2 linked regions of the Macaca mulatta genome follow. The protein of the gene in region 1 purifies or fractionates together with the protein of each later gene. This does not show direct contact. Links are inferred from orthologs where the notes say so. Each region holds a gene or a part of one and is shown on either strand. Other genes may lie near its edges.

Region 1 (4,398 bases):
CCAGTGGAATTTAGAACCTTGCTGCTCAGTGTGGTCCATGGTTAGGCAGCATTGGTGTCACCTGCGAGCCTGTTAGAAATGCAGAATCTCATTCCCTATTCCAGAATCAGCATTTTAGTAAGATTCTCCCAAGTAATTTATATGCACATTTAAGTTTGACAATTTTCCATCTATAAAAATTGAAATGAAGAAACGAACGAGATTTATTTTCTCTAGGATGTCATGATGCTTGATTTTAGCTATAATTATTGTTTTGTTCTGTTAGTTTTGCCACCCAGGGCTTGAGTTAAAGGAAATGGGATTATTTCTCAATATGGTTTGTCTCTTCAGCTAAATTTTCTAAAAGGAGTCAGGATACTGCCCAACCCACTTGAAAAAATGTAGGCTGGTGTGAGTCATTGTTTTTCATGGTTGTTTCCAACATTGATTTCATTTGCCCCACGCTTTTGCAACAGTGGTCTTCTTTCCCTTCCTAAATCACTCCAGGCTCTTTCCTGCATCAGAGCTTTTGTACACTTGATTCCCTCTGCCTTAAAAGCTTCTTCATTTGACTTTTCCTGTTTAACTTTTCACACCCTTTAAATATCAGATGAGATGTTACTTTTCCAGAAAGTCCTTTCTTCATCACTCCGTCCAAAGCAGGTCCCCGTGTTTTTCTCTATCAAGGTCCCCTGCTTGTTTATTTATTTATTTTTTGCTAGCCTCACATTTTCTAATTATGTATGCATTTGTGTGAATATATGACTGCGTGTAAGCTAAGTAGTGCAGTGAAGTTGTTATAAGCACAGACTCCAGAGCCAGGCTTCCTGATTTCCAATTCTAGCAGCCACTTCTCTCCTTCTGGGTCTCAGAACACCTGCATCTGCCTCCTGAAAACTCATTCAAATGTGTTTCTCTTTCTATACCCATTTCCCCTAGAAGTGTGGGGCAGTGAGCAAGTTACTTAAGTGTTCTGTGCCTTCTTTCCCCATCTGTGAAGTGGAGATTGGAGCACTGTAAATTTCACAGGGTCATTATAAGAAGTATTCATGGAAATAGGGAGAAGAAGAGGAGTTTTAACATGAGGACATTTAGAATATTTTATTCTAGAGGTGGAATTAATTTTGCAGGGAGGTAAAAATGAAGCAAAAACTCAAGATTCTGCTCCCAGGTCAGGAAGTGGCTCTTGAATGAAAGAAAGAATTCTCTCTCTCTGCATTTTATATGTATTTCCCAAAGTTCTGTACTCATTCCAGTTTTCTCCTCAATGTAACATATCTCTATGCCATTGATTTTTTAAGTCTCTAGCCTCAGCCCTACCCCTAGTCCTAAGTTCCCAGGAACTTTCACATAACTTCCTCATGGATAGAACACTGACATCCTAAAATCAGTAGGTCCAAAATTGAACTCGCCTTCCTCCTGTGGCTGCGGTCCACCTTCCAATTTTGTCACTTTCTTTGCTTATCCTGTTTGAAATTTCACTGCCCTCTTTACCATATTTCATCTCTTCCTTTCCTACTTGATTTATTTATGCCTTATCACTACCGAATACACTATTTTACTTATCTTTTTTTTACGGTTTGTCTCCTGCTAAAATGTTAACTCTATGAGAGCTAGAATTTTTGCTTGCTTCGTTCATGATGTATTCATGCAAATTAGAACAGTGCCAAGCATTCAGTAGGCGCTTGATGAATATTTATTCCTGTCCCCTCATTCCAATTGCCAATTAATTTACTTAACTCTATATTGATGGGATCTCTTGCTTCGGTCCCTTCTTTCTTTTATGCTGCTGCCACACTCATTCAACTGTCATTGTTTCTCAGAACTATTACAAGAGCTTGCCGCATGCTGGCTAATGAAATTTGGGCAAATTATTTAAGTGAACTTCACCTCAGTTCTTTATTTTAAAATGGAGATAATAATAGTATAAATTCATAGAATTCTCATGAGACTCATAATGTGTGTACAGCACCTGGAACAATACTTGAAATACAATAAGCACTCAGTGAATGCTTCCTACTTTCATCCGCTGCCCTGGGCTAGCTCTGGGCTAGGTTTCCGTTATCTCCTGGCCTATCTCTGCCTGAATGCTACACTTTGTCTCCCTTGGACCCTTTGTAGTTCCCCAAATATGATACGAATCTTCATCTTCTCCATATAATGGACAGGAGGGAACAAGAAGCCAGTTGGATCAGTTCATTCTTTTCTCACTGCCATATTGCTGTGAGAAAAGCAATGTCATATTACTGTGCTTTTCTCAATGCCATGTATTGCTGGACTAGCTAGTCCTTATTTGCACTAAAGGAGGGGAGAGATGGAAACCTTTTTTTTTTTTTTTTCCCCGCAACGAGCAAAAGGTGAGAGGATTATTTTTAGTGTGTTCGATTGGGCTCAGAAAATTTGGCTCAGCTGAATAATAGGTTTTTAATATTTCAGCTGAGGATAGTGAGGTTCAGGAAGGATAAGTAACCTCCCTGAGGTTCACAGTATGATAGTAGCTAAATTGGTATGAGGGCTCATTTTCTTGATCTTGGTACTCTTTATAACACAAGATGTTGGTCATAAACCAGAAACAGTCTTGTCTTGCAAAAACTTATTTCCTCTGCCCCAGCAAATAACTTTCTTACATGCAGACACAGTTGAAATTGTTCACCGACAACCATCTCAGGCTTATTGCATCCAAAGTTGAGAGGAGGTAGTAGTATATCAGGTAACACTGTGAGTGTCCCCTTTCCCACCCCAATCCCTTGGCAGAGAACCAGACAGACAATTGTATACAGACGATTTAGGTTGAGCAAGCGCCACAAAACCAGGAAGTCACTCAGTGACTACACCGGTCTGCATTGACATTTACCTGGGCCAAAGCAGAAGACAAACAGGAGCGACTGGAACAGCCACAGCATGCTTTCCGTGGTGAAGACTGGTGCTTGAGACCTTGAGGCAGTCAACGTTTTGCTTTTCTGTCATAAACTGAAAATACTTTTTACTGAGACTTCCCCTTCCTCTAGAGGCGTGGTGAGAACTTTTTCTCCTGAACTGAAAATCCTAATTTCTAACTGTGTCAATTTTTTGTTTACTTTTTTCTGAACTAAGTGCACAAATCTTTTTTTTGGGGGGGGGGGGAAAGAAGATAAAGTCCTTTACTGCATCTTTCATAAACTTATATGTAAAAGTCTGTAAGGAATTTCCTAAAATCTACTAGAACAAATAAGTGAGGTCAGCAAGGTGAAAAGATACAAAACCAACATATAAAATTCAATTGCAATTGTGTATACTCACTGAGTAATCTGAAAATAAAATTAGAAAAACAATTCCACTCTAATTATATCAGAAAAATACTTAAATATAAAGCTAACAAAAAGCCAGAAGAAAACTAAATTTTTAAAAGTCTAATTTTTCTTTTCTTCTTCTGTTTTATGTTTTTTCTTTCTTTCTTTCTTTTTTTTTACATTTATCAATTTTATTTTATTTTATTTTTTATCTTATTTCTTTTTTTATTATTATTTTACTTTGAGTTCTAGGGTACATGTGCATAACGTGCAGGTTTGTTACATATGTATACTTGTGCCATGTTTGTGTGCTGCAACCATCAACTCGTCAGCACCCATCAACTCGTCATTTACATCAGGTATAACTCCCAATGCAATCCCTCCCCCCTCCCCCTCCCCATGATAGGCCCCGGTGTGTGATGTTCCCCTTCCCGAGTCCAAGTGATCTCATTGTTCAGTTCCCACCTATGAGTGAGAACATGCGGTGTTTGGTTTTCTGTTCTTGTGATAGTTTGCTAAGAATGATGGTTTCCAGCTGCATCCATGTCCCTACAAAGGACACAAACTCGTCCTTTTTTATGGCTGCATAGTATTCCATGGTGTATATGTGCCACATTTTCTTAATCCAGTCTGTCACTGATGGACAGTTGAGTTGATTCCAAGTCTTTGCTATTGTGAATAGTGCCACAATAAACATACGTGTGCATGTGTCTTTATAGCAGCATGATTTATGATCCTTTGGGTATATACCCAGTAATGGGATGGCTGGGTCATATGGTACCTCTAGTTCTAGATCCTTGAGGAATTGCCATGCTGTCTTCCACAATGGTTGAACTAGTTTACAATCCCACCAACAGTGTAAAAGTGTTCCTATTTCTCCACATCCTCTCCAGCACCTGTTGTTTCCTGACTTTTGAATGATCGCCATTCTAACTGGTGTGAGATGGTATCTCATTGTGGTTTTGATTTGCATTTCTCTGATGGCCAGTGATGATGAGCATTTTTTCATGTGTCTGTTGACTGTATGTATGTCTTCTTTTGAGAAATGTCTGTTCATATCCTTTGCCCACTTTTTGATGGGGTTGTTTGTTTTTTTCTTGTAAATTTGTTTGAGTTCTTTGTAGGTTCTGGATATTAGCCCTTTGTCAGA
Region 2 (4,554 bases), on another chromosome or scaffold:
CCAGAACAGAAGAAAAGGCCATATCTGAAAGCCATGATTAGGAGCTTCAGAACTGGGGAAAAGGGCAAGCATCGTTTGAAAGTACAGTTTAAAGTACAGTTTGAAAGGCATATGAAATGTATTATCTCTACAATAAAAATATAAAAACTATAGCTCAATTAAATCTTCTTGGTTAATAGGAGTAAACAAAAGATAGAATGAGAAACCATTCTGAGTAAACCCTACATTCAATGCATGTTTGTCAGCTATACCTTGTTGTCCATGTGTACGTGACACCATTTATATTGTTATTTCGACTACATATCATAAGCATAAGTGTTTTGGTTTAAAATGAGTACATGGTTTATTTCTAAATAAAATTTGATTTTATAATTACAGTGTAGCACCAAAAAGAGGGAATGAATTTTTTACATTTGTCAAAAGGGACACTCAACTCAAAAACGTTGAGAAACTGATAAAAGGCAATGTATCCTTATATCTTCCCTCTGCAGTACATTCTGGCTATCACCCAAACAGTCTCATAAGACTTTGAGTCCCCAGTGTACCATTTGAAAGACACCGTAAGGGAACTCCCAATTTGTCTAGTATTTTCCGCTACTTCACAAGGCAGTTTTCATGGAGAACTGAGAGTCATAAAAAAAGCATTTATGCAAGATTCACTTTGGGCAAAAACTTAAATGCTTGAGAATTTCTCACCTGCCTAAGTTAATTCCTCATGTGGTTCTGGCCCACATAGGAAAAAGGCTAAAGTTGTCCTTCTCTCTTGTATATGGTACTTAAGGCAATCTTTTGCAGAAGGTAGGATACACATTACTATTCCTGTTTTATAAATATGGAAACTGAGGCCCAGAGAATTTGAGTGACTTTCCCAGGGTCCACACCCTAACCTCTCGATGTTCATTCCTTTTCTTGCAGTAAAGAATAGAATTTGCCTTAACAGTTTGTTAATTCAAAAATATCTGCTGAGTGCCTATTATGTGTTCCTGTGTTCCTGGTGATGGAGACAATGTCTCCGTCCTCATGGAGATTATATTTTTGCAGGACAGCCCAGCAATAAGTAGGTAAACAGGCAAATTATCAAATAGTTTAAAGCTCTTTGAACAAAAATAAAGAGATGGAGTGAGTGTATCAGGGACAGAGAGAGGGCACTTGTTCTAGATAGGTGGCCAAGCAAGTCCTCTCTGAGGGAGGAGGCAGTTGAACAAACATGTGAACTGAAGGTATTTTTGGCAGAAGGAACAATAAGCACAGAAATCCTAAGTGGGGGCATTTTTGAGGAGCTTGAGAAACGGCCAGGAGCCTGGTGAGGCTGAAGTCTTAGGTGTATCTTGCCTCTCACTATACCCTGTTGTCCCTCCCCTGCCCAGACTTGTTTTGTATGTTCTTTTTCACCTTTGGGTTAAGGAGCACATTATCTCCTTTGTCAGTTTCCCTAAAGCAGCGCCTTTCACCCACCCACTCACTCCACCTTCTCTCAATGAGAAAAGAGCCTAAGAATCCTAGCTGATTTTCATTGCCCTTCCCTAGGTTCCACACGGGAACATAATTATATAAGCAAAACATAAAGATTCAAGCCCAAGACATTCAATAACTTCCACGTATTTCCCTGGAAGCCTTTATGAAAAATGTATTTAGCATGACCTGAGAGCTGCCACAAACAAGGCTTGACCATTTTTGAAAACCAATATACAGTGAAAATCCTCTAGCACCAGCATCAGGATAATCTTTCTTCACTGACCCATAAGGTATTTCAAACTCTTGTGGGGTATCATCAGATGCTGAACTTACTACCAAGCATTTAACCTCATTTGGTTTCTGTCTAGAACCTACTATGCAGGGCTGCTGTTTTCATGGATTTTTTTTATCCTGCTGACAATAATGCTTGAGCTAGGTCCTTCCTTAGAAATGCCCCCATGATTCCTAAAAGAAATCAACTGAAAAGAGAAGATAAAATAACAATATATTTTTGGTATAATGACAATACCAATAGCTTACATTTATTGAACATTTACTAGGTGTCAGGCCCCAGTGCTAATTTTTTTACTGCATTATAGCACTTAATCTTACAATCCTATGAGGTAGGCAGTAATATGATACCTATTCAATGGATAAGAAAACTGGGGGACTGAGAGGTTAATTTGCCCAGGTCACAAGCCTAACATCTGACTAGCACAGGAGAAAGTCTCAGATCTGCCTGACTCCGGAGCCCTGGAGCAAAGACGCAGATGAATTTGATTCAAAATGAAGCCTTAGACTGAGACATGCCTAGGCAAATGGCAAAGCTGAATCATAACAAGGGTGTTTTCCCTCCATTCCCTTTAAGACTATTGTGAGTCCTAACGTTTATCAAGAAGGGTCCTATTTCTGAAATCCCCTGCCCCTCCCCACCCCCCACTACTTTTCTAAAGGATGCTACATCAGCAGATCCAGAGAGGTGATTTTACTCATACACATCCCCCTCCTCTCTCAGCATCTCGACTTTACTGGCATTGCATTCTTAAAGTAATTGACTCTGTTTCTTAATGTGTCTCCTCTCCCTGAATGTCATGCCCTTCCTTTGGGATGACACTTCAAAAGTCGTTTAAAGAGAGCTAGAGTAAGGCTCCCAGGGCACCACCCGATAGGGTTCAAAATAGAAGTGGGGAGCCTGGGTCTTTCCTGGAGCGAAGGTAAACTCTAGACCACATTTCAGCACCCGAAAGGGTATTCTCTGCGGCTGCCCCAAAAGGCTCTGGTGAGGGCCTTCTGGAGAGCAGGTGGCCCAGGGAATGAAATCCCCAGCGAGGGACTCAGGCGAAAGTGTGTTTCACCACGGCCCTGGGCTGGACTTGAGGGCGGACCATGGAGGCGTCGTCGGCGAGCTGCTAATGCCGGCGCCCCTGCCTGCCTCGGCCTCCACCCTGGCCCCAGCTGCCGCTGCCCACCGCCCACACCCTCAGCAGGCCCATGCCCACTGTATCATACTCACAGCACACACAGGCAGTACACTCCTGGCACGCTCTCGCTGTCCCTCAGCAAATAGCTGCCATCCAGCCCAGTGGCAAGCAGGAGCTTCTCGCCTGTTTCCCTGCTGATTTTGCCATGATACACAGCCACTGCGTCCATGACCTGGTGGACTCTTGGGCAGGCCGAGGAGGAGAACTGTACAAGGGAGATGCCACTGCTACTGCAGCCAGGCACAAGTCAACCACCTGACTCCCAGTTCAGCCAGATGTGCAAAAAAGAGAGAAGCACCCAAACAACAGGATGTTGTCTACTTGCCTTAAACCTCCTTCTCACACTTCAACTAAAACGAGCTCAGCAATTTAGTAGCTTAGTTCAATCGAGCTTGCCAAGGGCTTCCATCTCCTGCCCCCCAACACAGGGTTCATACAGAGCGGGAAGGAACATTGGAAGAAGGATTTTGCAAGATTGGGGCTGTACTGCCAACACACACCCTTGCACTCAGACAGGGATGCTTAGTAATGCTTCTGTTCTTGCAGTTTACTCAGAGGCCACCAGGAATAACTTAGCTCAACTAGCCGGTAAGGAGTTGATGATAGAGGCAAGTTGTACATGTCTCTGTCGGTATGTGGACCCATCATGTAGGGCAAAAACATACTAACAAAATGAAAGGATCAAAAGCTCTGAGAACAAAACACTGATGGTTTTATCAGTACTGTCAGTATGCAATCATTACTGAACATGGCCATGAAGACTCCCACAGAATCGGACATAGTAGATTAACAGTGAACTTTGGGCAAGTTCTTCTTCTCCCTCTTCCTTCTACCTCACGCAGTCATCTTGAAAGTCTTGGTCCTGAGTAAATATTGATTTCTTTCCTAACACCTTGTCCAAGGTCCCAAAGTGCTAGTTGAGATACAAAAGTCACAATGTACATCCAAAGATTTTCCAGATTTATCTATTTGATGGGCTTTACATGAGACTGTGAATCATTTAACTGGTGCTTTGCCTTTATATGCATTTGTATGTGCCCTTTGGTGTATAGGGCCCAACTTTCAGCATTTTGGCCATAAAATCTGTTTTGAATCATTTGCAAGTTGTTGATAATATTATTGTAACTTTTATTCTCTGTTGTTTCTAGAAAATGTTATTTCTTCAATTGATGCTAAACTGTCTTTAATATTTTAAAACCTTTCAATCTGCATTTTCTTCTCTGAAATAAAGCATTGCTTCTATTTCAAAATGTGCTAGGTAATATTTCCCCAAAACTTCCTGCATTTTCACTAGAGTAAGACTTTATTTATTGCTGAAGCTGAATGGTCTTATACATGTACCTTTAGATTATGTAAAGTACTTTTAAAATTGGAACTTAAATAGCTGAAGCTATGTCGTCTATTATATGCTTTCTGCAACTTCAGTGTGTAGTTCTTGGAGAATATGGCAAGCCTGGAAGCTCAACAGGGAGAACGACACTTAATTCCTCACGTGGCTTACCAATGGATTGGATGTACAGAGCTGACCTGCACCAAAGGCAGATATTTGCTCTTCATCTACTAGGGTTAAGAACAATCCTCCAAGATTTCAGTGGTAGCTGGTAACAATTTTTCTTCT

What was found.
Region 2: the proteins of SLAMF6 (region 1) and SH2D1A purify together in Homo sapiens (co-immunoprecipitation; 5 studies listed by BioGRID and IntAct, with this or other methods). This does not show direct contact. The link is inferred for Macaca mulatta from reciprocal best matches to the Homo sapiens genes SLAMF6 and SH2D1A.

What each region holds. Positions count from the first base shown.
Region 1 is NC_133406.1:106,356,964-106,361,361, reverse strand, and holds the start of SLAMF6 (SLAM family member 6), read right to left. Parts: upstream 2,971-4,398; 5' UTR 2,883-2,970; coding exon 2,834-2,882; intron 70-2,833; exon of another isoform or gene 1-69. UniProt on the Homo sapiens protein: Self-ligand receptor of the signaling lymphocytic activation molecule (SLAM) family.
Region 2 is NC_133426.1:130,790,736-130,795,289, reverse strand, and holds the start of SH2D1A (SH2 domain-containing protein 1A), read right to left. Parts: upstream 3,106-4,554; coding exon 2,969-3,105; intron 1-2,968.